Saccharomyces cerevisiae S288C: one gene and its partners. The gene in region 4 interacts genetically with the main gene of each other region. Each region holds a gene or a part of one and is shown on either strand. Other genes may lie near its edges.

What was found.
Region 1: mutations in MDL1 (region 4) and AGE1 together harm fitness more than expected from each alone (negative genetic interaction), as found in Saccharomyces cerevisiae (2 studies listed by BioGRID).
Region 2: mutations in MDL1 (region 4) and YLR345W together harm fitness more than expected from each alone (negative genetic interaction), as found in Saccharomyces cerevisiae (2 studies listed by BioGRID).
Region 3: mutations in MDL1 (region 4) and EMA17 together harm fitness more than expected from each alone (negative genetic interaction), as found in Saccharomyces cerevisiae (2 studies listed by BioGRID).

Annotation. Positions count from the first base shown.
Region 1 is NC_001136.10:1,485,270-1,493,321, reverse strand, and holds AGE1 (GTPase-activating protein AGE1), read left to right. Parts: upstream 1-4,331; coding exon 4,332-5,780; downstream 5,781-8,052. Other genes in the region: RBA50 (Rba50p), read right to left, coding at 909-2,228; SNA2 (Sna2p), read right to left, coding at 2,487-2,726; API2 (Api2p), read right to left, coding at 3,088-3,417; YDR524C-B (uncharacterized protein), read left to right, coding at 3,524-3,724; YDR524W-C (uncharacterized protein), read right to left, coding at 3,830-3,919; putative serine/threonine protein kinase SPS1, read left to right, coding at 6,284-7,756; SPS2 (Sps2p), read left to right, coding at 8,019-8,052. UniProt on the Saccharomyces cerevisiae protein: GTPase-activating protein (GAP) for the ADP ribosylation factors ARF1 and ARF2. May be involved in the endocytic pathway.
Region 2 is NC_001144.5:814,744-822,710, forward strand, and holds YLR345W (bifunctional fructose-2,6-bisphosphate 2-phosphatase/6-phosphofructo-2-kinase), read left to right. Parts: upstream 1-5,767; coding exon 5,768-7,297; downstream 7,298-7,967. Other genes in the region: FKS1 (1,3-beta-D-glucan synthase), read left to right, coding at 1-884; YLR342W-A (uncharacterized protein), read left to right, coding at 1,067-1,240; GAS2 (1,3-beta-glucanosyltransferase), read left to right, coding at 1,351-3,018; 60S ribosomal protein uL24 RPL26A, read left to right, coding at 4,569-4,587, 5,035-5,399; CIS1 (Cis1p), read right to left, coding at 7,544-7,849. UniProt on the Saccharomyces cerevisiae protein: Synthesis and degradation of fructose 2,6-bisphosphate.
Region 3 is NC_001141.2:297,823-304,948, reverse strand, and holds EMA17 (Ema17p), read left to right. Parts: upstream 1-3,691; coding exon 3,692-4,120; downstream 4,121-7,126. Other genes in the region: cohesin subunit IRR1, read left to right, coding at 1-472; EMC5 (Emc5p), read left to right, coding at 845-1,270; E3 ubiquitin-protein ligase SSM4, read left to right, coding at 4,940-7,126.
Region 4 is NC_001144.5:524,835-533,279, forward strand, and holds MDL1 (ATP-binding cassette permease MDL1), read left to right. Parts: upstream 1-3,465; coding exon 3,466-5,553; downstream 5,554-8,445. Other genes in the region: SKG3 (Skg3p), read left to right, coding at 31-3,111; ATG26 (sterol 3-beta-glucosyltransferase), read right to left, coding at 5,963-8,445. UniProt on the Saccharomyces cerevisiae protein: Mediates export of peptides with molecular masses of 2100 to 600 daltons generated upon proteolysis of mitochondrial inner membrane proteins.

The DNA of each region.
Region 1 (8,052 bases), on a different chromosome or scaffold from region 4:
CATAAATGTTACCCTGACATATGATCTGAAATTTTGACGTGACATGAGAGGACCACGAAATCCATAGAGGTTAGTACAAAAGAATCCAGCCGGGTATCCTAACTAGGTGAAAAGTGAAAAATTTTTCATAACTAATAAAAAAAGATGCGATGAGAACGACGATGTAACTACAATCAAGCTACTTACAAACGAAGAGAGCAGTCAAGTATCCGAAGTTTAAAGTTTGAATAACAGAGCTAGTTAATGAGAGTACTCATCATCACACTATAAGCTTTATATGGATATGCTGATGTGAATTGCACAACTTAAGTTTGTCGAGGATCATTTTTTTGAACTGAATCATGCTCTTTTTAAGTGCTTTGAAACCCTCGATGAATGTGTCAATGTGCAAAGATAAACCATTGTTCTCTGTTGATCAGTGACTTAATGTTTGCTTTGGAGAATGATATTTTCCCTTTCCTATATTTGACTTTTGTTCTAAAAGTTATTTGGAGAGAAAAGGCATGATTGAGGTTGCGACTTTTTCGTTTTTGCTTTTGCATGGATAATTCATCCATGCACATCTCACTTTATTGGACCTTCAAGATTGGTTTCCCATGTAATTTAATTTTCTCTCCTCTACATTTAATATGTTCTATATTAATTAATACCAATTGAGTTGTGCGTACTTCATTGCAGATATTTTACCAGACCTGTCTGAGTTTTTCGTTCAAGTTTGGTTGAAATCGGCTTGAGGTATATGAACGTGGTTGGGATATGGAGATTGGGAGATCAAAGAAGCGAAAATACCTGAGACAGTTTTTTTAAAAAAGAAGCTAAGGAACATGACTCAAAGAGACACATTATTCTTGTTTTTATGAATAGGCGCTGGTCGGCGCACCTGTATGTACTATTATTTTTTTCTCTATCTATTTCTTGGTTCGGAAGTCCCCACCGCCTTGTTTCCATAACCAAAGTGCATCAATAGCATAATTTCTGACTGACAAATTTCTAGTGAATTTCTCATCAGAGGAGATTTCTAAGGATTCGATGACTTTTCCGTCTTTAATCAAGTCCCAAAACATGGAATAGATCTTATCCATAACGTTCGATATGCTTCCGTCTTCCTTGTATGTGTCTGCATCTATTTCTGGCACTAGCTGGTAGTAGCTTTTTTGGCCTAGCTTATAAAGTATTCTCCCCAAAGTTTGTATAGCAATGCACCTTTGAGAAGGAAAAGTGGATCTTGCTAAATGTTCTAACTCCACTATGGTGTAACCGGCGAGTTCAGGCGAGTCGCTGTGATGGTGCAACCCTGAGTGAATGGTAGAGTCTATTTGTCTTGTGGGTGGAACAAGGTCGCCATTAAAGTCAAACCTACATTCAGATACGTCTTCAATGATGTAATTCTTGTCTGTTTTTTGCTGAACCGGTTGCATCCATTTTAATTTGTCGACCTCTTTGGGCAAATCAGGGAAGTATTTTTCGTGTAATTTATCGTTGAAATTAGGATCATTTATATCAAGTTTCTCTAAATTGATTTCATTTTGGCTCTCCTCTTTGATAAAATGAACGTCTTTGAATAGCTCTTCATTTTTCATATGATCAATGCATTGTGCCATCTGGAAATCTAAGGGTGCGATATCATCGACGTCATCATTAGTTTTTGCTTCTTCTTCCACGTCTTTTTCTTTTCCTGCTTCTTCAAATTGAACATGTTTTGCATCTTTGCCTAACATAGGCCTAATTTCTAAGGCAACGTCTACATCTTCATCGTCTAACGGTGGTAGATCGTATATGCCTTGCTTGTTGCCACCTACCCAGGTACCAGAAGCGCCTTCTATTTCTGCAAATAATGGAGTGTTGTTTTCGTCCTTCGCTCTTTTATTTATGTTTTTCAATAGCTTGGCAATCAGTTTGGGATCTAAAGAGTTATACAGATCCTCACGTTCTTGCACGATTTGTTCATCACTCATTCCCTGCAGAACTTTAATATTTTCATTATGGATAGATTTTGCCTCGGATAGTGGGGCGTCTGTACTCGTTTGTTGCTTTTCAGCATCCTTGCCACTAGTTTTTTTCTTTTGGGCTCTTTTTTCTCTTAGTCTTTCCTTCCAAGATGATATTTTCTTGGGTTTGTACAACTCGGGAAATCCCGTTCCACAGTTGTTGGTACTAAGAGTGCCATTGTCATTACTTTCAACAGAGTCAGATGTATCTTTCTCCACTATATCGCCCAGTAAGTCCATTACGATGGTGGCAGAGTGATTTATCTTCTTTGAATGAGGGAAAATGAATATATTAAACTATAGATTTACTTAGCCGACAGCGATGAGATGGCTTGCCATTACATTATTATTCATTTCAGGTACATAGAAGTACCGAAAAATGAAAAAGAAAAAATAAAATAGAAAAAAAAGAAAGAAATGAAAAAAAAAGGGTAGCAAAAGAGCCACACATCACTTATTACGAAATTCTGCGGAGGAGGATAACGTAGAAAGAGTCACTCATGCTAAACTACCATAGTTATCATCCGAGGAGGAGAGGTGTGAGTACCGGGCCTCGTTCTCCTCATATGGATGACAGCTGATCACGTACAAAGCATGGATCAGACCAGGGAAAAACCCTAGTAAAAATAACAGAAAGTTAATGAGCAGATCCTTGGTAAAAAAACCTCTTTTTAGCCAGACTGCTAAGGGAGGAATGAAAATTGCAATAAAAACTAAAAACCAGTCGCGGGCGTGCATAGTGTAATTCTAAAGTTGTATGTTCTCTAATACGATGACTGGTACTTGCAAAATGCTTATTCGAGGACTAACTAAGATCGATCAGTAAAGATCTCTTGTCAATCAAACCTTTCTCGCACAATAGGAGACAGGAAAAGGGGAAAGAAAGTCGAAAAAGTGCGGGTTCCGGTACATGGATTATATCGCCCCGGGACAATGCGCGTTGCCCCTCACCGGCCCGGAATATACGCGTGGTTGCGCTCTTTCGTTACCCGCGACTGTTTTGGCGCCCCATTCATGCTACGCGGATCTGGACCTGCTTATTTCCCGAGAATACGTCCCGAAAAAGTAATGCAGTTTCCGAAATGGGCGCGGTAAGGGCCTAGGCCCAACGTTGGGCCTTTTTCAGTTCCAAAAAAACGACTCGTTGGGAGCCGTGCGGTCCCGTCTTCGGGCGTGATTGGCCGCTTTGGCCGCTTCTGGGCGTAGGACGCCAAAGTTTATTTCCAAAATAGCGAAGACCAGAGCCACGCCTTTTCTTTTTGCAAGCGGAATATCCGCTTGAGAAATGAGAAAAAGAAAGCAGAAAAAAAATCATCGCTTTTTTCACGTTTGTTACATGAGATATGGTGCTGTGTGTCATCGCGGTGGTTTTCCTGGCTTTTCTCCTCATATATAAGGAACTCGAGAAATTCTTGATTTTCTTTTCCATCTTCTCCTACTGTATTATTTACTTTATTAGTTAATATTGTTTTTGATTTTAGAGGAAAATCATCATTAAACATAAGTTTCAATCAACACTAATCATCAACAAAACAATGCAATTCAAGACCATCGTCGCTGCCTTCGCTACTGTTGCCGCTGTCCAAGCTGCTAACGTTTCTACCAATGGTTCCAACCGTACCAACGGTTCCAACACCACCAGCACCAAGATCTCCACTGGTGCTGCTGCTTCCAACGCTTTGGGTGCTGGTGTCTTCGGTGCTGCCGTCGCTGCCGGTGTCGCTTTCTTATTCTAAGTTCTTTAATTTTGAGTTTAGAGACATTATACTCCTATAATATCGAAAAAATTTTTTTATTATCGCTACACAATCAAGTTTTTATGTGCTTTTTTAATAATATTATTATAGAACAAGAAGAAAGACCGCTCTTTCCTTGAAGGGACCAAAGAAGGAAAAAAAATATGTTGGAAGGGTTTTATATGATCTTTTCATGTTCGTTCACTTGTAATGGAATATTAGTTAGAAGATGTAAATAACTTATCTGTTTATTTTTATTTCCTCTCTATAATTATTACCTGTATTAATTCATTATCTAATATAAAATCTAATCTAATAATAGAATTTTCTGATGTTTATCTTTTTTTTTGTCGTATTCTCGGCGAATTAATCGCGGAAAATTTCATATCGAATTTTAAAGGAATGTCATTTTGAACGCTAAAGTATTATTTATTCTCGTCCGATGTTGGTTTTTTTTCCTATCGCTGTCGTTATAATAGTACTTGACGAAGAGAGAAGAAAAGTAAAAATTTGAGCGAAAAAGAGGATAAAAATCACATTGAGGCAGAGTGGTTAAGGTAGCTGTACCAGTCATTTTGAATACATTTTTCTGGATGTTCCATCAATAATGGATTTTTATACTACTGATATCAACAAAAATGTTGTGCCTTTGTTCAGTAAAGGAACAGTAGCAAGAACAGCATCAAAAGCACAGTATCCATCATGGTGCAACAACGCGTTAAAGTTAACTAATATTCTTCTTAAATCTCTTCGATGTAAATTTCAAACGAACCGCTGCGAGGATGATCGAGGTTTTGAGGTATATTGTGTTATTTTAAAAAGCATCGCTTTATTAATGGCCGCGAAAGAATCATTGATATTACTACAAATACCTCCTTCTTTACCATCAGGATTTCCATTTCGTTCACCCCAACTGTCATTTACATATTTATCAACCCGTCTTAGTGGGAGCCAACACAAATCTACGCATTCTCATCACATCAATCATCAAACTCATCCCATTCATAGTAGCAGTAGCAACAGTAATAGTAATAACCGTATTCCTACAAAAACAGATTCCTCCAAACAGCATACACAGCATTTCTCTTTTGCTAATGCGGGAGCCTCCAATAGAGACGAACTGCTATCAATCGTGCGCAAAATTGATAAATCTAATTTGAAGTGTTGTGACTGCGGTAGCACCGCAACAGTAGAATGGGTGTCAATCAATTTATTGTGTATATTGTGTATCAAATGTTCGGGCGTTCATCGATCTCTGGGTTCACATATCTCCAAAATTAGATCTTTAACGCTGGATAATTTCACCTCGTTAGAGTTGATGCATCTTTTACAAAATAATGTTTCCAATAGTAATGTTAATGCCATTTATGAAAGCAATCTCAGGAACTTTCCAGTTAAAAAAATAACTGCAAATTCTGATGACTCGGAAAGATCCAAATTCATTATTGATAAGTATCAATTTAAAAAGTTTGTTATCGACAGCAACCAAGGCAGAGAGGCTTCTTTGAAGTCTTTAATTAAAGCTATCCATTTAGATAGTGTTTTCATGATGCAAAGAGCCATCGCCCAAAGTAAATATTCCCTAAGAGAATTGACGGCAAGCGAAAAAGAGCAGAATGATCTAAACCATTCTTCCATTTTTCAATATTCCCTAAAGCACTATGAAATTGTTGATGGAACGCCCATTTTTTTTATTACAGAATTTTTATTGTGCAATGGTATTCATATAGATAATTTACCGAAGATTACTACGAATTGGTCTCCAAAGGTTTTAGAATATTGGGAAACTAAGTTGGAGATGTACGGAACATTCCAAGCTGTAAATACTTCTCGTCCAAGATCAGGGCCGCATTTAAATATGCATTCAAATGTAGATTCAGCTTCGTCCTACAATAAGAAACACGATTTGAGAGTTAACATACCTGAAAGAAGTGCCTCAGCAAGTAAAAGGTGGAGTTTGAGCTCCATTCCTAAGTCTTCTCAAAATTTGATGTCCCCAACAAACTTATTAACAATGCATAAGTCTTTAAAATTGGCCAAAAAGGACAAAAAATAACATATATGATAATTTAACTGTATTTTTTTCCCTTTTCTAATACTTTTTCCTCAAGTTATATTTCGGAGCTGTCCCAGGTTCGGAACAATGCGGCATCAGGGATAAAAAAAAATGACACATAAAAACGAAAAAGACACAAATTCCATTTTTTTTTTTTGACGCGAAAGAATGACACTACTTTCTTCTATTGTAACCATTTCTAACATCGATATTTTACTTGTTAGTTCAGATATATACTAAAGAGTCACTTAATATACTGTTTTTGTTTATTATCTTGGTTCCAACTGCTTCATTTAATATTTCCTATCCAAAAAAAGCCAGCTAATTCTCTTCTTTTTTTTTCTTATTTTGCCATTTTCAATATTATCGATTTAGTGAACACCTGGCTAGTCAGTTGTCTTAGCAAACATTTCTCAAAAGAAAGCAAACCAGCATTTGCTTTTTAAATTTAGTTTTTTTACTAGCTAATTCATTTACTAAACAACAAAAGAAAATAGCACAAAATGGAAAGCAAAGAAATATCAATTAGGTCAAGAACCCCTCCATCGAAGCTATATTCCATCCAATCATGTATTGGCAGAGGTAACTTTGGTGATGTGTATAAAGCAGTGGATAGAGTTACGCAAGAAATTGTGGCAATTAAGGTGGTCAACCTGGAGCATTCCGACGAAGACATTGAACTGTTAGCACAGGAAATTTTTTTTCTGGCGGAATTGAAATCTCCTCTTATTACAAACTATATTGCAACAATGTTAGAAGATGTCTCTATGTGGATTGTCATGGAATATTGCGGCGGTGGATCATGTTCAGATTTACTGAAGCGAAGTTACGTCAACGGTTTGCCTGAAGAAAAAGTTTCCTTCATTATTCATGAAGTCACCTTGGGTTTGAAATACCTGCATGAGCAAAGGAAAATTCATCGTGATATCAAAGCAGCTAATATTTTACTAAATGAAGAAGGTATGGTTAAGTTGGGTGATTTCGGAGTAAGTGGCCACATTCGTTCCACTTTGAAAAGGGACACTTTTGTAGGAACGCCGTATTGGATGGCTCCGGAAGTTGTTTGCTGCGAAGTTGATGGGTATAATGAGAAAGCAGATATATGGTCCTTGGGTATCACCACCTATGAGTTACTCAAGGGCTTACCCCCATTATCTAAATATGATCCTATGAAAGTTATGACTAACTTACCAAAAAGGAAGCCTCCAAAATTACAAGGTCCCTTTTCGGATGCAGCAAAGGATTTCGTAGCTGGTTGTCTTGTTAAAACACCTGCTGATCGGCCATCGGCATATAACTTGTTATCATTTGAATTTGTTAAGAATATCACCATAACGAACTTGAAAAGTGATGTTGATCTAATTAAACAGAAAAAGGTTCAGGAGAGATATACAAAAGTTCCCAAATACCCTCTTCAAAATCGCTTGTATAAAAACAGCAACACAGTGAGGGGAAAGGAATTTTGGAATTTTGAATCGACAAGACTAAGCACAACACAAATTTCCAAAGAGGAATTATCTCCCATTACACAAGACTCTCCAACATCATCTTTAAATATGGAAAGTCCTTATTTACTTCATGGGCAAACTGTAACGCCGATAACCAACCCAAGTTCTTCATCATTTAGAAAATGTACGCAACCAGTTTTCGAGCTTGATTCAGGAATGGATATAGATTCAGGCTGCCCAAATGCTCAAGCAGAGACCGAAATAGTTCCTCTCTCTAATCATAATAAGAAGCATAAAAAGAACGATATTCAGGCGTTGAAGATAGAAAAGTTTGACTACTTGAAAAACATTGTATCTCATATTCTCAACAGAATGTATGATCGTGCGCGCGACGATGAAACAAGAAAATACGTAAATGAAATGTTAAAGCAATTCATTAAAACTGAGGCAAACGTTCCTGGATTTAATGAGGTTTTTATAGAAGAGATCTCACTAAGAATTGAAGCAATAAAGAAAGGATTCGTTTAAAAAAATAGATATATATATATAATGTGTGTATATGCATGAGTTTTTGTTTTCCATTCTCTTTCATCTTCAATAAATGAAGGATGGATATATTGAATTATATAACAAACAGTAAAAAGTCATGTGTTTTTGATTATTTACCTGCTTATTTCTCCCTTTTTTTTTCGATTCTTTTTTTCTGATCGAGCGTTTATGTCTTTACTGTCCCGTCATTGATGCGTCTCAAAAAAAATATTTTGTGGCATTACTTAGACTATAAAAGAAAATGCCAATTTGGAAAACACAAACATTCTTCACTA
Region 2 (7,967 bases), 290 kb from region 4:
ATGCTCAAACCGGTGTCAAGACTACTGATGATGATAGGGTGAATTCTGTTTTACGTATCATCATTTGTACCTTGGCGCCAATCGCCGTTAACCTCGGTGTTCTATTCTTCTGTATGGGTATGTCATGCTGCTCTGGTCCCTTATTTGGTATGTGTTGTAAGAAGACAGGTTCTGTAATGGCTGGAATTGCCCACGGTGTTGCTGTTATTGTCCACATTGCCTTTTTCATTGTCATGTGGGTTTTGGAGAGCTTCAACTTTGTTAGAATGTTAATCGGAGTCGTTACTTGTATCCAATGTCAAAGACTCATTTTTCATTGCATGACAGCGTTAATGTTGACTCGTGAATTTAAAAACGATCATGCCAATACAGCCTTCTGGACTGGTAAGTGGTATGGTAAAGGTATGGGTTACATGGCTTGGACCCAGCCAAGTAGAGAATTAACCGCCAAGGTAATTGAGCTTTCAGAATTTGCAGCTGATTTTGTTCTAGGTCATGTGATTTTAATCTGTCAACTGCCACTCATTATAATCCCAAAAATAGATAAATTCCACTCGATTATGCTATTCTGGCTAAAGCCCTCTCGTCAAATTCGTCCCCCAATTTACTCTCTGAAGCAAACTCGTTTGCGTAAGCGTATGGTCAAGAAGTACTGCTCTTTGTACTTTTTAGTATTGGCTATTTTTGCAGGATGCATTATTGGTCCTGCTGTAGCCTCTGCTAAGATCCACAAACACATTGGAGATTCATTGGATGGCGTTGTTCACAATCTATTCCAACCAATAAATACAACCAATAATGACACTGGTTCCCAAATGTCAACTTATCAAAGTCACTACTATACTCATACGCCATCATTAAAGACCTGGTCAACTATAAAATAATACAATCAATACTTGCTTGAACGCTTGATTTTACTGATATTCTATCCAAAAGCAAGTAGACCAGAAACTCTCAAGATGTTGCAAATACCGTTCGATGTTTTTGGTTTAGATTGTTTTAATGTTGATGCTTTTTTACTTATTTTTGGAAGCGTCTTTTTAATTTAGTTTTATATTATAGGTATATGAATGTGTTTATGCCAATAAGGGTTTTTTTGTACAGTTATGTGATTATAAACAGTCTTTTGTCTAGTTTTTTTCACCAGTATCGGCCTCTATTTATAAAAAACGGAGCAGCTTTCGGTGTCAGTAATTCTGAAAAAATTTGTGTCACTCTGATTGTAAATGAATTAATTTAGCTAGATAGTTGCGAGCCCCAACGAGAAGATTGTCAGACAAAGACAACATTCAACAACCTACATCCGTTACTATTCGTTAACTCGAGGTACTTGAAACTTTTCAGTTAAGTATGAACAAGAAACAAAATTTTTACGCAGCCATTATTGTGGCTATTTTTCTTTGTTTGCAATTGTCTCATGGCTCTTCAGGTGTCAGCTTTGAAAAAACCCCTGCTATTAAAATTGTAGGAAACAAATTCTTTGACTCTGAGAGTGGGGAACAGTTCTTCATCAAGGGCATTGCTTACCAATTGCAGAGAAGTGAAGAGGAGCTTAGCAATGCAAATGGGGCTTTTGAGACAAGTTATATTGATGCCTTAGCGGACCCAAAAATATGCTTAAGAGATATTCCATTTTTGAAAATGCTAGGAGTGAACACACTGCGTGTTTATGCAATAGATCCGACAAAATCACATGATATATGTATGGAAGCTCTATCTGCCGAAGGAATGTACGTCCTATTAGATCTTTCAGAGCCTGATATTTCAATAAATAGAGAAAATCCATCTTGGGATGTACATATTTTTGAAAGGTACAAATCTGTAATTGATGCAATGTCATCCTTTCCAAATTTGTTGGGGTATTTTGCAGGGAATGAAGTGACAAATGACCATACAAATACCTTTGCATCACCCTTCGTGAAGGCCGCAATCCGAGATGCCAAGGAGTATATTTCGCATTCTAATCATAGAAAAATCCCTGTCGGCTATTCAACTAATGACGATGCTATGACAAGAGACAATTTAGCAAGGTACTTCGTTTGCGGAGACGTTAAAGCTGATTTCTATGGGATAAATATGTACGAATGGTGTGGGTATTCCACGTATGGTACTAGTGGATATAGGGAAAGAACGAAAGAATTTGAAGGTTATCCAATTCCCGTGTTTTTTTCGGAATTCGGCTGCAATCTTGTAAGACCAAGGCCATTCACTGAAGTTAGTGCCCTTTATGGCAATAAAATGTCCTCTGTTTGGTCTGGTGGCCTTGCATACATGTATTTTGAAGAAGAAAATGAATACGGAGTTGTTAAGATAAATGATAATGATGGAGTGGATATTCTTCCTGATTTCAAGAATTTGAAGAAAGAATTTGCAAAGGCAGATCCTAAAGGCATTACAGAGGAAGAATACTTAACGGCAAAAGAACCAACTGAAGTAGAAAGTGTTGAATGTCCACATATTGCTGTCGGAGTTTGGGAGGCAAACGAAAAACTACCTGAAACACCTGATAGAAGCAAGTGCGCCTGTTTGGATGAGATTTTGCCCTGTGAAATAGTCCCTTTTGGTGCTGAATCTGGAAAATATGAAGAATATTTTAGTTATTTGTGCTCTAAGGTTGACTGTTCCGATATTCTTGCAAATGGCAAAACCGGTGAGTACGGTGAATTCTCAGATTGTTCTGTCGAACAAAAACTTTCCCTTCAGCTGAGTAAATTGTATTGCAAAATCGGCGCAAATGATCGCCATTGTCCTCTAAATGATAAGAACGTTTACTTCAACTTAGAAAGCCTGCAGCCCCTTACAAGCGAGTCGATCTGTAAGAATGTTTTTGATTCTATAAGGAACATCACATACAATCATGGCGATTATTCAAAATCAAATCCATCGCGTAGCAAGGAAAGTTTGAACGTAAAGTACCCATCGAGTGAAGAGAGAGAAAATGACGGCACCATCGCATTTAAAACTTCAGGGTTTGTTATACTTCTAATTTCTATGATAGCTGCTGGAATTCTTCTATAAAAAATTCATTTAATATTCAATGAAGTTATAAATTGATAGTTTAAATAAAGTCAGTCTTTTTCCTCATGTTTAGAATTGTATTAATGTACGCCGTTTACGTTGGAGTGTAAATGTGTCTATTCCAGAACGAAATCTAAATGAGCAGTACAGGCAGTTCAGATGGTACTGAAGCGGTACTAAAGATGCATGAATTGAACAGATGTGGTAGTTATGTATATGAGGAATATGAGTTGTCACATTAAAAATATAATAGCTATGATCCCATTATTATATTCGTGACAGTTCGTAACGTTTTAATTGGCTTATGTTTTTGAGAAATGGGTGAATTTTAAGATAATTGTTGGGATTCCATTATTGATAAAGGCTATAATATTAGGTATACAGAATATACTGGAAGTTCTCCTCGAGGATATAGGAATCCTCAAAATGGAATCTATATTTCTATTTACTAATATCACGATTATTCTTCATTCCGTTTTATATGTTTCATTATCCTATTACATTATCAATCCTTGCATTTCAGCTTCCTCTAACTTCGATGACAGCTTCTCATAACTCATGTCATCATCTAACACCGTATATGATAATATATTGATAGCATAACCATTAGTTGATAGGTGATGGTGGAATTTTATTTCAACAGTTTTATACCTCTCTTATATAAGCACAGGAAGGTCCATATCCACATTTAAACTTGATTAATACTTTTTTTTATACCTTTAACTATCATCATCAATAATTTCTTTTCTGAAAGTACGACATCAAAGTCGCCGAGTTTTGTCTTCGGAATAAATACTAGGTCAGATGAATAAAGAGCAGGAATTTACTATCTCTGATAATTTATTATGCTCCTCTAGTGCAATGGTTAGCATGCATTCTTCCGGTGGCTGTGATCCGGGTTCGAGTCCCGGGAGGAGCTTTTAATTTTTTAGCGCACTATTCTAATTTTTAAGGAAAAAGCATATTTCCGAGTCAGTGCATAGAAAGAACGGAGGCTACGATGCCAGCACAGTGTCTATAAAGTCAAGAAATACATTCAAACTCTTCGCGTAAGGGCTGTCAATTTTTCATTTCCCTCAAAGTTAATGCGCAAGAGTTAGGATGATCTTGATTATTAGTTATTTGTTTGTTCCATCAATTATGCCGACGTCCATGAATGCTATTGAAGTATCGATTACTTATGCTATTCTATTGTATTTGAGCCGGCGGCTAGTAAACAAGACAGCATACCTTTCCAACATCCGTACATATTGATTATTGTATCTATGATTTTCATGTAATGTATGGGTTAACTAATCCTTTCTCTTCTTTTTTTTTTTTCTGAAAATCAGTAGCTAGAGGAACCTGTTCGTGAAAGATATGGAATATTCCGTCTAGGGAAGAGCCGAGAGCTGAGAGCAGTATCCATCGGATGGAATCTTGCCTGGATGCGTAACGACGACAGCTTGTCTAGAAGGCGAAGTACAAGATACTAAGAAGACTATAACAACAGAAGACAATTTTGTAGTGCGATTCTATATTATTGACGTAACCAACAAAAAAGTATCAGAATGGCTAAACAATCATTAGGTATGTGCACAAATGCTAAATCACTGAAACCCTGTAGAGCTGGAATTGAAAATATAGTTTGTACCTTTTGCCTGAGGGCAGAATGACTCAATGTTATCTTAATTCGATTAGAAAAAGAAGGTGCGTTATCCAAGGTTGAAACTTGTAAACTATTTAGGTGATGTCTCATAACTGCAACCACTGGAAAATGACGCAAATATCAAAATAATAGGGAGATAAAGTCTCACGACATGAAAAAATCATAGAATTATTGTTCAATTTATCTAGCCGTATCTTACCTTATGGAAAAAGTGTGAATATGTTTTTCTAAATCGAGCTTCCCGGAAATTACACTATATTATGCATCCGTGATACATCTGAAATTCAATACTTTCTCCAAGGTCCTGCTTACTAAGAGGGTAAGATTTGTTGAAACTCGAAATACTAACATTATTTTCATTATTTTAGACGTTTCCTCCGACAGAAGAAAGGCTAGAAAGGCTTATTTCACCGCCCCATCCTCCCAACGTCGTGTTTTGCTATCTGCTCCATTATCTAAGGAGTTGAGAGCTCAATACGGTATCAAGGCCTTGCCAATCAGAAGAGATGATGAAGTTTTGGTTGTTCGTGGTTCCAAGAAGGGTCAAGAAGGTAAGATTTCATCTGTTTACAGATTGAAATTTGCCGTTCAAGTTGACAAGGTTACCAAGGAAAAGGTCAACGGTGCTTCCGTTCCAATTAACTTGCACCCATCCAAGCTTGTCATTACTAAATTACATTTGGACAAGGACAGAAAAGCTTTGATCCAAAGAAAGGGCGGTAAGTTGGAATAAATTATGTAATTCCCTGAAAACTTCCTCGAAATTTATTGCACTTTTTTTACTCAAACCATTTAATAATCATATGTAAAACGTATAAAATAGTATCCATTCCACTGTACTCAGTGTCTTACGTAAAGGGCTGTATACTGGCACTACCTTTTACTATGGATATGTGCTAGCTTTTTCGGAGAAGAAATGTTCGCCTTACGCTAGAAACCGGGGTTAAGGGGGCGTGAGAATGAATATTGGCAGACAAGAACCGAGATAGAATCTTAACACAAAAACAGTTCATCCTACTTCTACGCCTTTATACAGTTATACTGAAAGATCTTTGCATAGGGGCATAGTTTAAAATAAAATATAGGGTTGTCATAGCAAACATGCCAAATGTGCTTTCTGATGATGAAGAGCTCCTTAATGGACTAGGAAGTGAGATTATGAAACCCTCTAGACAAGGTAACCATATGGCAAGGACCGTCAAAAGGTGGGTAAATAAAGAACGTGCTACCACAGCCGATCTGAAAAATGTTAATATTGATGGAGTTCATGGACCGGTAAATACCGAAAGTTATATATCACCAGGACAGCTTTACTCCACTGACTCGGGCAATTTATTTCATGCTGGAAGAATCCTTGTCGTTCTAGTCGGTCTTCCAGCAACATCAAAGACACTATTGTCAGTAGCGATTACAAGATATACAAGATGGTTAGGAGTTAGGACGAAATCGTTCCATTTTTCAGAATATAAAGAATCAGCTAAAAATATACCCTCAGACTATTTTTGCGTAGTGCCAACGTCAAAAGAAGGTGTAGCGTTTGTTGAAAAGCTTCGCATGCAGATGTTGAATGATATACTGGCATTTTTCAACGACTTGTCAGGTCAGCTGGCCATTTATGATGCCCTAAACATCCGTAAAATTGACAGAAAGAATTTGGAGACAACGTTTTCTGAAATTGGAGTTAAAGTACTCTTCATAGAATCAATCGTGTCTGATCAAGAAATCATGAATAGAAACATAGCTCTTGCACTGGAGTCGAACGATTACAAGGGACTTTCAACTGATGAAGCCATTGACGAATATATGAGACGTTTATCAGTGAACGAACCATACTATGAAATGATGACACATGACGAAGAATTATCGTACATTAAATATATAAATTTGGGAAAGCAGATAATTGTGAAAGATAACATACATGGTTATTTGGTCAACAAAATAGTATTTTTCTTAATGAATTTGAGGCAGAAAAAGGGGTGTGTATATTTTGCTCGCTGTGGCACCAGCGATAAAGACAACTACATACATGATGAGGAACTAAACGAGGAGGGAATCCATTACTCTCAAGTTCTCAAGGATTTTGTCCTCCAACGAATTAAACAGAAGAGACAGGCCAAAAAAAATTCGGATTCCTTAGTCGAAGTAATAGATGGAAGTCATGATGAAGATTTGAAGACTTCCTTGATAGTTTGGACAGGTCCCAGGAAAAGAACCCACGATACTGCACTCTTTTTTTCAAAAGAAGGTATTAAAGTTCAGCAACGGTCAGAGTTGAGACAGTTGAACCCAGGAAGTATTGCTGATCTTACTGATCAACAGATAATGGACAAATTTCCATCAGAATATAAAGAATCATTAAAAGACCCATATCATTTTCGATTCCCTAGGGCGGAATCTTACCATGACTTAGCCGTTCGTATGGAACCTTTACTATTAGAAATGGAGCATACGAGCAAGGACATTCTCATCATTGCACATGAGTCAACATTAAGAGTATTATATGGCTATTTAATGGCTTGCACCTGCGTAGAGTTACCAAATCTAAATTTCACAAGAGACAAATTAGTTGAAATTTCATTCAGCCCTTTCTGTAATACTGTAGAGTTACTGAACATTCCTTTAACTAGCTAATATACTGGAGTTGCATCGTTGATGTGTATTATCTATATTCAAAATAGTTATTTTTATGTTTAAGAAAGGATTAAGAACAATTGAAAAAAAATTACCATTAGCAACGAATATTAAATTGTAAATTATTTAGAGATATTTTTCTATAATATGCTCGCCTACCATTCTCTTTTATACAATATTTAGGTTTTACCTGGAGGCTAAAATGATATGAGGGGACGATAGCTTAACATGATTGTGACACAAACTTTAAAAAAGGCTTTCAGTTGAAGAGTTTTCTTCCGCTATAGTCTCCAATGCTATCTTACTTTTCTTATTACGTTTATGTCTACCTTTCATATCATTTCTTGTAAGCAACTCCTGCATTTCCGCTTCCTGGGCAGCCTTGAGTAAATCATATCTGGTAATTTTATCAGGTTTATTGCTCACATATCTGCCTGAACCAACAACGTTGATATATTTCCATGGACATGCTACCCACTCTGCAATAGTGGAAGCTGAATTGATTGTGTTTTTTGAAACTAACCCGATGGGACAATTACTGATCGATTGCATTATTAAAGGTGATAAATAATCCTTTGTTATTTGTGCCCCTTAAAATTCATATACACTTTATGTTTAATTCGACAGGTATAACAGAAAGAAACAAGGAAAACAATGCAATTAATCATTA
Region 3 (7,126 bases), on a different chromosome or scaffold from region 4:
AGAAAGGGTAGCAGATGAAGACGCCAACCTAAATGATTTGCCGGAAACCGGGTTTTTCGAGAATATTGAAACTGAATTCCTTTTATTCACAGTTAAATTGAAGGGACTAATGAAACTGAATATTTTAGATGAACGATTTGCTTCCCGTGTGGCACTAAACAAAGAAAAGCTTGGCCCGCTGTTCAAAAAAATCGTAGATGATACCATAATGGAAAATCCAGAACCTAATAAAAAGAACATACAGAAAGCAAAATCAAATCAAACACAGAGGGAAAAAGCGCCTTTACAACCCAACAGTGAACGAGAAACCGACCATGCAAATACTGAAAATAATGATCCAGATATTCCCATGACAATCGATCTAGAACCTATTGAAGAAAGTTCGCAAAATAATTCAGAGTTAGCACCAATTGAGGAACACCCAACCGTGGTAGATGCTATAGACAACAGCGACGAAATCACACAAGATTAAGGGAAAAGATATACGTCAGACTTATTGCTCTTTTGTAAAACAATAAGATCTATAATATATATCACATCTTTCTTTTGAACATACATAGCTTCGTTAGCAGTTTTTGATTAATCATAAATACTTCAAATATCCCTTCGCATTAGACTATACTCGCTGGATGATATTCGGCTATGTATTTTCCAAGCCCATTCAATCGTCATCAAAGCGCCCTTTGCTTCTTCGAAAACTCGCGATGTAAACGCAGCGCAGAAAAATCTACTTTTGAATATAAAATAAAGTCAACTCAGATAGTTGTTATGCATGTTAATTGTAGCATCTAAAAAGCGATCGTAATTAAGCCCTACCGAGATACAAAAAAGCAATTATCAAGAGATGTCGTTTGTTTCCAAGCTTCTCTATACAGTCTCTGCATTGGTGTTATTTCATTCTGGTTTCTCAAGCTATGAGTTTCATCACTTATTAAAACTTAACTCGCTTAATAATGCACAAGGTGCAATCAGCAAGTTACCTAAAGATATCATGTATGAAACGTATGCAGGATTGATACTCTTTGTTCTTGCAGTGTTCACTTCGTTCGAGAAATTACAATATTTACCAATTGAGAGTAACGATGGGAAGATAATATCCCAAGGAAACTATCTAAAAGAAATCGCATTAAATAAAGCCACCAACGTGGATAACTTGATAGGAAGTAACCCTAATGGTGAGATCATATTTACTCCAAGCTTTGTTGACGTTCATATGAAGAGAAAAATTTGCAGGGAATGGGCCTCTAACACTGTAAAAAAAGAAAAATAAATAAGATACTGAAAACTAGAGCTAGAACTTATAATTTCATACATATATACATATCAAGATCTAATAAGAGGATTAGCTAGATTTTGAGCATAAATTCGATAGCGAATCTACTCGAACATCGTAACTGCACAAAATAAGGCGTCAGGTGACCAGGCACCTCTTCTATTTACACCAACACAGACGCCTTTCATAGAGGAATAGAAAGCTATATTAGAATCACCAATAATGCAAGCGTCTCCTGTGTTCTATAACGTGAACCATAAGCTTGAGTGGTTTCAAAAGGATTACGGGGCGGATAGTATCTTTTGCGTCTTCGTTGGATAGTTTGTTATTAAGATACATAAATACACACTAAATTTAGTGGTAAAATCTTCTATTCAATATTATCGAGAGTCTCGGTTTGAGGGCTAACACTCTAATGGATAACCGTTCGGAATATTTCTATTCCAGTTTACATAGTATAAGTACGATATTCATCCTCATGTTAGCGTAAGTGGAACTTGTTCAAATCATCCTGAGGTACAGACAAGCCCTTATTGATGATTCATTCTGTTATTTCAGGAACAGGTAATAGTTCTCCACCACTTGAACGCCCATGCTAGTTGTAAGGTGCCGTATAAAGGCAGTTATGATATCATGTATGCGTTTATTATAAGTATTATCGCCTGCAGAAATAACAAAAGTGACACATATTGGTACAGGTACTAAACCGATGCTAACCGTACTAAAACAATTTACCACCCGGCTCGAGTTTTTTATTCTTCACAAACTTTTTCTGCATTTAATTGTGATGAATAACGAATAACTATTTCCTTGATCACCTCAGTAATCGCGAAACGTGCATTTGTGGTAGCAACAGTTTTAATGACAGTAGCATAGCCTATTGCACCTCCACATGAAGAAGCTACCAGTCCACCGCCAGAAATAGACAAAATGGTAACATCGCTTACATTAATTAGCCCTAATACAAAAGGTTGCCATTTGCTAATTTGTTTTGGTCGTCGAAAACCATTTGTGTCGTCGTTAACCTTTCCATTTATTATTCCAGCAATAAGAGCAAACCCCAATGAGACAGTACAAGCTGTAAGGGGAACATGCCCTATTACCAGCCCAAATGACCAATTGACTAACCAATCACCACACACACCCGCAGCTGTGTTGCGTGCGACGTTACCCAATGTTATGGTAATGGCTTGCTATATACTGACTCGTTCAGGTGAATAGAGAAAACCCGTATCACCGTAAACCCATCAGTGACCGTTTTAATTACCACAGCTGTTGCTAGCGAGTAAAAACCCTTTTCACCACTGGTATATAATATGTTCATCGTAAACAACCAATTGGCAACTATCCGGGAGGTCACGGCTGCGCTGCATACTTTTAAAACAGCTTGACGTGGATTAGACCAATTCACCATACGTTTGGAAAACATACTGGCCATTATCCAAGGTGTAAGTATAACGTCAAAGCTGCAATCAACTGTAGAATCTCTTCCTAACACATTTCTATATAACGCAACCAACATTATCATTGGAAATGGCATACAAACAACGCGTCTGAATAACCTTGCATCGTCCATGTTATTGCCTTTTCTACACCACGCAGCACCTCTTTAATGCAGCAGCCGTCACTATTTGCATTGACGCATGTCTTCATCCTTGAATGCCTGGCGATAGTATAGGTAAATTAGTTAAATACAGCTTTGAGTAATTAGGCATGTACTTCCTCTGATTTAGTGACAGGTTCAATTGTTAAAGTATTCCCATTAGGCCAAGTTAAAAAGCGAAATTTATTTTGTTTTACAGATTTCCATTGAGTTTTTATGCCTAAGGGCGTGTTTTTTCAGCTCGTAAAATCATGAAGTTGTAGCACGCTGGCTCACCATGACAATTCCAATGGTGCGGTTCAATCAATTCACTGAGGTAGAATGGTGGACCATGATATTCAGAAATAGGTAAGTCCTGAGGTAATGATTAGGATTTAACTGTTGACTCTATTATAAGGTATACAGAATATACTGGCATAAAACAAGGATCATTAACACGCTAAACAGGGTGTTGTTTAATATCATGAATGCGCAAATAAGCCCTTTTTGCTGCAGCAAACTTTATGTACCAAGATCTTAAAGGGACTCGTTACCAAGATGCGAGTGAGTAGTCTATTATTAGAGAGTAGATCAGCTTCCGCCGCTTCCTTTTTTAACGGGAAAAAAAGTAGAAGCTGGGACAACTTTTTCGCTGCCAATAATAATTAAAAAGAAGGACCCTTTTTTCATTATAGGTATATTTGTTAAATATTTCCATTCCTAAGACAATCAACAACGCAGTTATGCAAACCATCAAAGAGGGCAAATGAACTATTCCCGCTCTTCGTAAGGATGCTGTATTACCGCCGTTAGCCATCAGAATTACTATAAAAACAATGCGGTTAATTTTCATTGCGAAAATGCTTCAATATTCATTTCTACCATTTTCCCCGTTCAATCTTTTGAATTTTGATAATAGTATAAGCGTAAGCTGGTTTATAACATACTCAGTGATCGTTTCCATTTGGGGGTTTGCTGTGTGGATTGAAGGAGCATATAGGAATAAGATTAATCTACAGCTTCCAAGATGTACGAAGATAAAATGCTCCCGCTACAATACGAGAATAAAATCCCCCAAGTGGTTCAACTGTAAAAATTGGATGCATTTTTTCCTATTATACCTTTTTCTAACCGCTTCTAACTTAATTGTTCAATTGGCCTATTTTTCAAAAGAAATGTGTAGTCAGGGTATAAACGTTCCTGGAACGAAGAAACCAGGTAATAGAGTTTATTTATCGGTTATCATACTAATGGGGAACGGGTGATAGAACTTTTACCAATGAAAAGAAATCAGCAGGCCATAATTTGGCTTTATTAAAATTAATAACATTATGGTGCTGTTGCGTTTATTAAAACAGACTAAAGCTGTTGGAATGAAATTCTAATGTTATCTATTTAGTAGTAATAGCATCACATGCGGTGTAAGAGGATGGCGTAAATTATGAGAAGCTGTCATCGAGGTTAGAGGAAGCTGAAATACAAAAATTGATAATGTAATAGGAGAATGAAACATATAAAACGGAATGAGGAATAATCGTAATATTAGTATATAGAAATATAGATTCCATTATGAGGATTCCTAGATCCTCGAGGAGAACTTCTAGTATATTCCGTATACATAATATTATAAGCCTTTATCAACAATGGAACCCCCAACAATTATCTCAAAATTCACCCATATCTTAATTAGTAACATGAATAGTACTAAACAGATGATATTTTAAAGTTTCATTCCAACAAGCATCTTAAATGTGCTATTACTTCCTAAAATAAGTAGTTTTTCCAACGAAATAGCCTTGTTGGCGCAATCGGTAGCGCGTATGACTCTTAATCATAAGGTTAGGGGTTCGAGCCCCCTACAGGGCTATCTTTTTACCATTTTCAATTCAATAGAAAAATTAAATCATTAGAGACGGAAAACTGGTTGAAAACGCATCGATTGAGGACATTGAAAAGATGATTATGACCGATCTATGAAGCCATAAGATTACGTTAAGAATAGTTCTTTGTTACTGATTTCAAAAACTGTTTTTTTAGCCAAGAGTACCACTAATTGAATCAAAGAGACTAGAAGTGTGAAAGTCATGGATGTTGATTCTGACGTTAATGTCTCCAGGTTAAGAGATGAACTGCATAAGGTGGCAAACGAGGAAACAGATACCGCCACTTTCAATGATGATGCGCCATCCGGCGCCACCTGCCGTATTTGTCGTGGAGAAGCTACTGAGGACAATCCTCTTTTCCATCCTTGTAAATGCAGGGGCTCAATTAAATACATGCATGAATCCTGTCTGTTGGAATGGGTAGCTTCAAAAAATATAGACATTTCAAAACCAGGCGCGGATGTTAAATGTGACATCTGTCACTATCCCATTCAATTCAAAACGATATATGCGGAAAACATGCCCGAAAAGATACCTTTTTCTTTACTACTATCCAAGAGCATCTTGACATTTTTCGAAAAAGCTCGTTTGGCTTTAACGATTGGTTTGGCCGCTGTACTATATATTATCGGTGTTCCTTTGGTATGGAACATGTTTGGAAAATTATACACCATGATGCTAGATGGATCATCCCCTTATCCTGGTGATTTCCTAAAGAGTTTGATTTATGGTTATGATCAGTCAGCAACTCCAGAATTAACCACGAGAGCAATTTTTTACCAACTTTTACAAAACCATTCGTTTACGTCTTTACAATTTATTATGATAGTGATACTACATATAGCATTGTACTTTCAATACGATATGATAGTAAGAGAGGATGTTTTCAGTAAAATGGTTTTCCACAAGATAGGTCCAAGATTATCTCCCAAGGACTTGAAATCACGTTTGAAGGAAAGATTCCCCATGATGGATGATAGAATGGTTGAATATTTAGCGAGGGAAATGAGAGCTCATGACGAAAATCGTCAAGAGCAAGGTCATGATAGACTGAACATGCCAGCCGCAGCAGCAGATAATAATAATAATGTTATTAATCCCAGAAACGATAACGTTCCACCTCAGGATCCTAATGACCATCGGAATTTTGAAAACCTTCGCCACGTAGACGAATTAGATCATGATGAGGCTACGGAAGAGCACGAGAACAACGACTCTGACAATAGTTTACCATCAGGTGATGATTCGTCACGAATTTTACCGGGGTCTTCAAGTGACAACGAAGAAGATGAAGAAGCAGAGGGGCAACAGCAACAGCAGCAACCAGAAGAAGAGGCAGATTACCGTGATCATATAGAGCCCAATCCGATTGACATGTGGGCAAATCGTCGTGCGCAAAATGAATTTGATGACCTAATCGCTGCTCAACAGAACGCAATAAACAGGCCCAACGCTCCGGTTTTCATCCCACCACCTGCCCAAAACAGAGCTGGAAATGTCGATCAAGACGAACAAGACTTTGGCGCAGCTGTTGGTGTGCCACCAGCACAGGCTAACCCAGACGATCAAGGACAAGGCCCTCTAGTGATAAATCTCAAATTGAAATTGTTGAATGTCATTGCTTATTTCATAATTGCCGTAGTTTTCACCGCAATATACCTGGCAATTTCCTATTTGTTTCCAACTTTTATTGGGTTCGGTTTGTTGAAAATTTATTTTGGTATATTTAAGGTTATTTTGCGTGGGTTGTGCCATCTTTACTACTTGTCTGGCGCTCATATAGCTTACAATGGGCTGACGAAACTGGTCCCTAAAGTAGATGTCGCGATGAGTTGGATTTCAGACCACTTAATTCATGACATCATTTATCTTTACAACGGCTACACTGAAAACACCATGAAGCACTCAATTTTCATCAGAGCTTTACCTGCTTTAACGACGTATCTAACCTCAGTCAGTATCGTTTGTGCTTCATCCAATCTTGTCTCGAGGGGTTATGGCCGTGAGAACGGAATGAGCAACCCTACTAGAAGGCTGATTTTCCAGATTTTATTTGCACTCAAATGCACTTTCAAGGTGTTCACTTTATTTTTCATCGAATTGGCTGGATTCCCCATTCTAGCTGGTGTAATGCTAGATTTCTCATTATTTTGCCCAATCCTGGCATCCAATAGTCGGATGCTTTGGGTTCCTTCAATATGCGCAATATGGCCTCCATTTTCCCTTTTCGTATACTGGACGATTGGTACTCTCTACATGTATTGGTTTGCCAAATATATCGGAATGATTAGGAAAAATATCATTAGACCAGGTGTTCTATTCTTTATCAGATCTCCAGAAGATCCTAATATTAAGATCTTGCATGATAGTTTAATTCATCCGATGAGT
Region 4 (8,445 bases):
TGCAAGAACACCAAGAAGCTACAGTAAGAAATGAAAAGGATTTTCTCTGGTGTGAAGTCCCCAAAGTTATCTGCTCCCCCAAAAGTTTTCAAAAATGATGAGAGCCCATCCACTCCGAGCTCTCCCAAATTCGACCAAGGGCTTCGAAGTTTATCAGCATCAGCTTCAAGACTCTTCAGTAACTCAATATCCACTCCTGGGAGCCCTACGTTAGATCTTCCGCAAGAACACTCTATTAATGGTGATATCTCACCAGAACTAGTACCAATCGTTACTTTACTCTCTGCACAGGCTCATAGGAGATACCATTATGGTATATTCTTGATATTACATGATTTGAAGACAGACGGAACACCTGCCGCGCGTCAGTGGGAAGAATGCTATGGTGTGTTGCTAGGAACTCAGCTGGCTTTATGGGATGCAAAAGAATTATCAGATTCCAAGAATAATAAGAACACATCAACCATGAAAAAAGCCGCATCGAGACCTTCTTTTATCAATTTTACAGATGCTTCTGTGAGGAGTTTGGACGCTAATGATCAGGTAATCATTGCATCAGAGAACGAAAAGACAAAGAAAGATCTAGACAATGTTCTTGTTGTTTCAACAACTTTAAAAAACAGGTATTTCTTAAAATTCAAAAATTCAAAATCATTCAAAACTTGGAACGCAGCAATTAGGCTTAGTTTGTTCGAGTTTACGGCGTTGCAAGAGGCCTACACGGGCTCATTTTTGTCAAGCAGAGGTGTTAAACTTGGTGATATCAAAGTTGTTATGGCAGATACAAAATTCACTTATGAGGACTGGGTTAGCGTAAGATTCGGGACAGGTATGCCATGGAAACGTTGTTATGCTGTTATTTCTCCACAGTCTGGCAAAAAAAAGAAAAATTCGAAAGGTTCAATATGTTTCTATGAAAATAACAAAAAAACCAAAAAATCAAACATAATGACAACGGTAGTAGATGCACGGGCTTTATATGCCGTTTATCCTTCCTCGCCGATATTAATCGACACATCTACAATCATAAAATTGGAAGGTTTTGTCTCTTTTGACAAAAGTGAGGAACCTCAAGAAACCAACCTATTTATCATGCCTGAAAAGCATCAAGGTGTTCCGGGATATGACACTATTATTCGCTTCTTAATCCCAGCTATGAACGCGTTCTACTTATATGGTAGGCCAAAGGGTTTGATTGCCAACAGAACTGACCCAGACTCCCTGCTGTTTGCCTTACCCACTCTTCCGCATATATATTATTTGCAGGTGGATGACGTTTTATCATTAACAAAAGACAAAAATTACATACATTGGAGTGCTGCTGATTGGAGGAATAACATTGTTCAAGTATTACAGAAAAAATTAAGTAAGGGCTATAAAGGCTGTGGTAATAAAACTGTATCAGTTTCATCTGGGATGATGAAGTCGCCGGCAATTAGTTCAGCTGAATTATTTGAAGGGTACGATTCTCTCCCTGAAAGACAAATGGAAAGTCCGCAAAAATCTAAGATGAAGTCTCCTACATTAGCATCGACCGATGATATTAATTCCGCTTCTGCTTCCGTAAACTCACATGCTACCTCAGTAAAACAAACTGAATTATTTGTGACTGATAATTCTTCAAAAATCAATGACTCTGTGTCGGCGCAGTCCAGTGTCACTACTAACTTCAAAGATACTTTTACCACCCCAATGACATCAGGAATGCTCAACCATGAAAATTCAGAGAGAAGCTTTGGTTCAGGATTAAAACTCAAAATCACTGATTCAAATTTGGAAAATATGGAAGACGTTGAAGCGAAATCTGCTAACGAATTCTCTACGACACCAGAAGACAAACATATTCACCTCGCCAATGCAGCCGAATTATCCGCCCTTTACGACAAATATTCCACATCTCCGTTTGGTAAATCGGAGGCTAATTCAAGCCCTAAACCTCAAAAATTGGAAGTTAAAGATCGGTCAAAAAATGAAAACAGAAGCCCCTATGAGAGATACGTAGGTACATCCGCTGAAAGCAAGACATTTGAAATAGGTAACGTCAGAGAGTCGAAAAGTACGATAAATACTTCCCTTTCTTCGCCTTTGAGGGTAGAAGATAGTAGACGTTCAAAAAATGAGGACCTGGGATCTTTGAAAGAGTTTGAAGAGTTATCTCAAAAGATTAGCAATATGGGAATGGCAAATATTTCTTCAGAAGCTTTAAGTGACACAGCAGAAAACAGTTCTTTTGTTACGGACCTGAACTTGAATATCAATAACAGTTCATCGGTCAATCTCAATGAAGAACAACGTGTGCCGGATTTTGGGGAGGAAAACGTATTTGATCCAGATTATATGGAACAAAACCAAATGTTGGAAACAGAAAGTAGGTACACTACGGATGAGTTTGACTTTTCAGATAATCAGGATGCAGCATCCAGTAATTATAGCAATGGGCAAACCAACCGAACAGTAACTGAAACCCTTTCTGCCAGTGACAGAAATGACAAGATCCCACATTCTTCTTTATTTACAAACTTAAACCAGCTTACTTCGAATGGAGGAAACTATCAGGATAGGGAAGATTTCTCTGGTGATCAAATAAACAAACCTCAACAATCTCAACCACTTCATGTGAAAGGACCACAAACTTCGTCATTTGGTTACAGAAATTCTTCAGCCAATAGCTCGCAGCCTCAAGCACCATACCCGGTTGGTCGCCCGTTAGGTAAGATAAGAACGGGTCCGCTGACCGTCCAGCCTATGCAACAAGGTGGAAACTCATCAATGTATTCTTTCCAATCTTCGCAACATCGGTTTCATTCGTCGCAACAGCGCCAAAACCAATCACTTTCCTTCAGAAACAATACCTATGGAAGTGGTAACAATCAAAATACATTCCATCCATCGCCGCAACTGCAACAACAGCCTCAAAATATGAGATATTTGAATAATAAGTTACCAATAAATGATAGATCTCCAATACCGCAAACACAGCACCATGTACCAGATGGCCGTCCCAGCCTCCATATAAATACCACTAACCGCACAAATCCGCTTACTGCACAAAGTGGATTTTCTCAATTTATGCCTCCCAATAGCACATCAACCAACCCATATTCCAGCTGATTCATTTATATTTCATCTTTTCTTTTTTTTTTTTTTACAATTCAGTAGTTTTATATAACTTCCCATAAATGTATTATTTTTTTAATACGACTATAATATACCTCTATACCCTTATTTATCTCTTTACCTTTGCTTTTAAGCTAAACAAATCTTCATTAACAGGTATTATATTACTGGCGTCGCGTTTCGTTTAGGCGCATCGAGCCGAGACTTCAGAATCACAAATGCTTTGTATATATGTTACGTATTCAGTATTGCCCAACATGCAACTAGATTCAACTAAGCAGACGTGGGTACTTACATGAGAAGCAGATCATTGAAATTTTACTAAGTTAAAGAAGAGGAAGGGCTCCAATGATTGTAAGAATGATACGTCTTTGTAAAGGTCCAAAGTTGTTGCGAAGTCAATTCGCATCAGCAAGTGCACTATATTCAACCAAGTCATTGTTCAAACCTCCCATGTACCAAAAAGCGGAAATTAATTTGATTATTCCACATAGAAAGCACTTTTTGTTGCGGTCGATTCGATTACAATCAGACATTGCGCAAGGAAAGAAGTCCACCAAGCCCACTTTAAAGTTGTCCAATGCAAATTCAAAATCCTCGGGGTTTAAAGACATTAAACGGCTATTCGTCTTATCTAAACCGGAATCCAAGTACATTGGTCTTGCCCTCCTTTTAATCCTCATTTCAAGTTCAGTTAGTATGGCTGTACCTTCCGTTATCGGTAAATTATTAGACTTGGCTTCCGAAAGTGACGGCGAAGATGAAGAGGGCTCAAAAAGCAATAAGTTATATGGTTTTACGAAGAAGCAATTTTTCACAGCATTAGGAGCAGTATTTATAATTGGAGCAGTTGCTAATGCAAGCAGAATCATCATTTTAAAGGTCACCGGTGAGAGACTGGTCGCAAGATTAAGAACGAGAACAATGAAAGCTGCATTAGATCAAGATGCCACATTTTTAGATACTAATCGTGTCGGTGATTTGATCTCAAGATTATCATCTGATGCATCTATAGTGGCCAAATCGGTCACACAAAACGTCTCTGATGGAACAAGGGCAATTATTCAAGGGTTTGTCGGTTTTGGCATGATGAGCTTCCTCTCGTGGAAATTGACTTGCGTAATGATGATTTTAGCCCCTCCTTTAGGTGCTATGGCACTGATATATGGTAGGAAAATACGAAACCTATCAAGACAGTTACAAACCTCAGTAGGTGGGTTAACAAAAGTGGCAGAAGAGCAATTAAATGCTACTAGGACAATTCAAGCATATGGTGGTGAAAAAAACGAGGTTCGCCGCTATGCAAAAGAGGTTAGAAATGTATTTCATATTGGTCTGAAGGAAGCGGTTACTTCCGGTTTATTCTTCGGAAGTACTGGGCTAGTTGGCAACACTGCAATGCTGTCGTTATTATTGGTTGGAACAAGCATGATTCAAAGTGGTTCAATGACTGTCGGTGAATTATCTAGTTTCATGATGTATGCCGTGTATACCGGAAGTTCATTATTTGGTTTATCGAGCTTCTATTCAGAACTTATGAAAGGTGCTGGTGCGGCTGCCAGGGTTTTTGAATTAAATGACCGTAAGCCATTGATTCGTCCGACTATTGGAAAGGATCCTGTGTCATTAGCCCAAAAACCCATCGTTTTCAAAAACGTGTCATTCACTTATCCCACTCGGCCCAAACACCAGATTTTCAAGGATTTGAATATTACTATCAAGCCTGGTGAACACGTTTGCGCTGTCGGTCCATCAGGAAGCGGCAAATCAACAATTGCGTCTTTGTTGCTCAGGTACTACGATGTGAACTCAGGATCGATCGAATTTGGTGATGAAGACATCAGAAATTTCAACTTGAGGAAGTATCGAAGACTAATAGGATACGTGCAACAAGAACCACTACTTTTCAATGGGACTATTCTGGACAATATCCTCTACTGCATTCCGCCTGAAATTGCGGAGCAGGATGATCGTATTAGACGTGCTATTGGAAAAGCTAATTGCACAAAATTTTTGGCCAATTTTCCAGATGGATTGCAGACTATGGTTGGTGCTAGAGGCGCGCAATTGTCCGGTGGTCAAAAGCAAAGAATTGCATTAGCTAGAGCGTTTTTACTAGATCCTGCCGTCCTTATTTTAGATGAAGCAACCAGTGCCCTTGACTCTCAAAGTGAAGAAATAGTTGCCAAAAATCTTCAGAGACGTGTGGAAAGGGGGTTCACTACTATATCAATTGCACATAGGCTTTCGACGATCAAACACAGTACTAGGGTGATTGTGTTAGGAAAACATGGCTCAGTGGTTGAAACCGGTTCATTCCGAGATCTAATCGCCATTCCTAATAGTGAACTAAATGCGCTGCTTGCCGAACAGCAGGACGAGGAAGGAAAAGGGGGAGTGATAGATTTGGACAATAGTGTTGCCCGGGAAGTATAAGAAGTTGCCGCAGTATGGAATCACTTTTCTATGCCACAGTTATGGTATGTGTTGGAAGACAATTAATTATCGCATTATGTTTGCTGAATATGAAATTGTGTATTCTATAATTTAAATGATGCCCAATGTAATTTACACAAACAGTTTTTTTTTAAAGCTCCTTGTACGCCTTTATACACATTAAATTAATATTAGATGCACAACATACGGTACGTTTAGGAAACTCAAATTAAGCTTTATTTTTTTACTTTTTTATTATTGTTACTATTATTCTTATTATCAACATTATCGTTTTCATATCTTTCCTGAGTACAAATATGACTGAAACTTACAAAAAAAAAATTAATTATTTATTACTATTAATGATTAGATGTTACGCTTTTTTATAAAAGTGAGAGTGATACTCGGTTTAAATCATCGTCCACCCTTCATCCGTTGTTTCAGCAGGTGTCAGTTTGGTTGCATCTACATTTTCCTCTTTCTTGCGCGGAGTTTTCACTCTTGATAAAGTAACGCTTCTTGCATACTCAAGTTCGTTGTAAATTGCACTTATTGCAGTTTTAATCCCATCTTCTTTGGAAATTTTCTTCTTTATTAATCCAGCTCTATCCTTCATTATTTTGTTCGTCGTAGCTACTTTTAAAGCATCTGCTAATGTTTGAGCGTTAAGTTTCTTTAAAGCAATACCAACTCCAATGTCTTCTACTCTACCTGCATAAAAGAACTGATCACCAAAGAAAGGTTTTATAACAGTAGGTAAACCAGCACGTAATGAAGCTCCAGTAGTTCCAGAACCACCATGGTGAACGGCAGCATCGACTTGTGGGAACAACCAATCATGGGGAACGTTTCCGATATTTAAAATGTTTCTTGGAAGATCTACCTCTGTCTTCTTTGCCGCCTTATCGCCCAACCTTTCTGACCATCCCTTATTTAAAATGCAGTATACATCTGCTTCCATAACTGCTTCGACAAGAGCTTCCGTCATTTCTTTGGCATTAGAGACTACAATCGAACCAAACCCGATATAAACCAATTTTTTTCCTTTTGATCTTGCCTCAGAAATAAATTCTTGTAATTCTGCTGGCGGTTTGAAAGTACTCTTATCATCAAGAAACCAATATCCTGTAACTCTCACCCACTCGCTAAAATCAATTGATGGCGGAAAAATTGTAGGAGAAACATTGTATAAGAAAGGAACATTATTCTGCTGTAAAAGAAAAAGATTTGTTTTCCCTAAACCTAGAGTTTCAACTCTCCACTTGTTTACTTGCCCACTAATTCCCTTCCAGAAAACGTTTTCGAAAAGGACATGTGTCAGGTAGTTATAGTTACCGCCCCTTTTTTGATCTGGTACAATAAATGCATGTGGATATGCTCTTGTTCTTGTCCATGGCATGGTAAATGCTCGAAAATAAGGAATTTGCAATGCTTCAGTAATATGAATACCAACCATAGCTGAGGGTGATTCAATCAGAATATCAAATTTTCTTCTGTTACAAACCTCCCAAGATGTCTGTAAAAGAGCATCGATCCATCCCCTAAATTTGCTCGAAGCTTCTCTCAGCATTTTAACATTCATTGATTCATTTTCCACCATCAAGGACATCAACTCCACTGGGTTACCAGCAATCTCTTCAAACTGGATTCCATGACTTTCAACAAAGTCTCTAAATTCCGAATGTGTAATTATTACCACTTGGTGACCTTCTTTTATCAAGCCCTTTCCAAGTGCAATATATGGTTGAACATCCCCTCTTGAGCCAATCGTCAATAATCCAAACTTATAACTCTTGTTTGGTTTTATGCTTGTTTTATAGTGCGGATTCTCATCAATCATTAACGGTACCTCAAAGCCCTCGGCATTAATTTTATCTTCGAAAAGCTTCAACTTCGCTGAGTCAGGGTTATGCTGAACATCGCCAAGAGAAGCACTCGATATATTCGATCCTTCTGCACTGCTTGCATATATGTTATCTAAGAGCTTTAAAAGAATGCGTTCAATATCATCCCTGGCGACCTCAGTGCTAAATTCAAAAAATAGCTCCTCGTGACCGTGAATTACTATAACCAATACAAAATAACCAAATCGAAATCCCTTTTCTTTATAGCATGTCTCCACATCAACCAATGGCAAAACCATGTATGTATTAGACCCTGGTAATAACGATCTGAAGCACACCGTATCATTGGATACGTAAATCTTACCATAAACGGGAACATTTCTATTCAGGTATGTGTAGTAAGTACTGATTAGTGACTTCTCTTTATTAAACTTGAAATGGTACCTGAACCGCTCGTTAGCAGAAACCTCTTCTGTTTCTTTAATCAAATAGGTATCATCCTTTTGAAACGGGATAAACTTGTTCCGGTAGTGTATTGGTTTGGCAGCCCACATTTCGGCAAAATTTTTGAGGTGACTTGGCTTCCAAGCTACGGTTTGCTCTTGACTATCTTCTTGTTCATGAATATGAATCGTGGAATGCACAGAAGAGTCTATATCATTCGCCGCATCTTTATATATTTCCTCCACATCCTCAACTTGAGAATCTTCAAGAGGTTTAGCTCTACGAAACCAACTATTGCTTCTTTCTCTAAATCTGAATCGACTCTTTTTCCCATTTTCCGAAGAAGGCACAGCCGAAGTTGGAACATTCAAATATTTTGAATCCTCGCCGTTATTCTTTTGCTCAACTGTAGCTGGTGTCTCTTTTCCAAAACTTGATTTTGATTTCTTGGCTGGAATATCATAATAAAGTGTATTAACACCGGATTTCTGCAATATAGCCAACTGTTCGCCAAGGCTCTCTTTGACCTGACTACCGGACCCATCCATGAAAACAAACATGAAATCATCGATAGCATAGGTCTGTGAGCTCTCCAAAGCTCTTA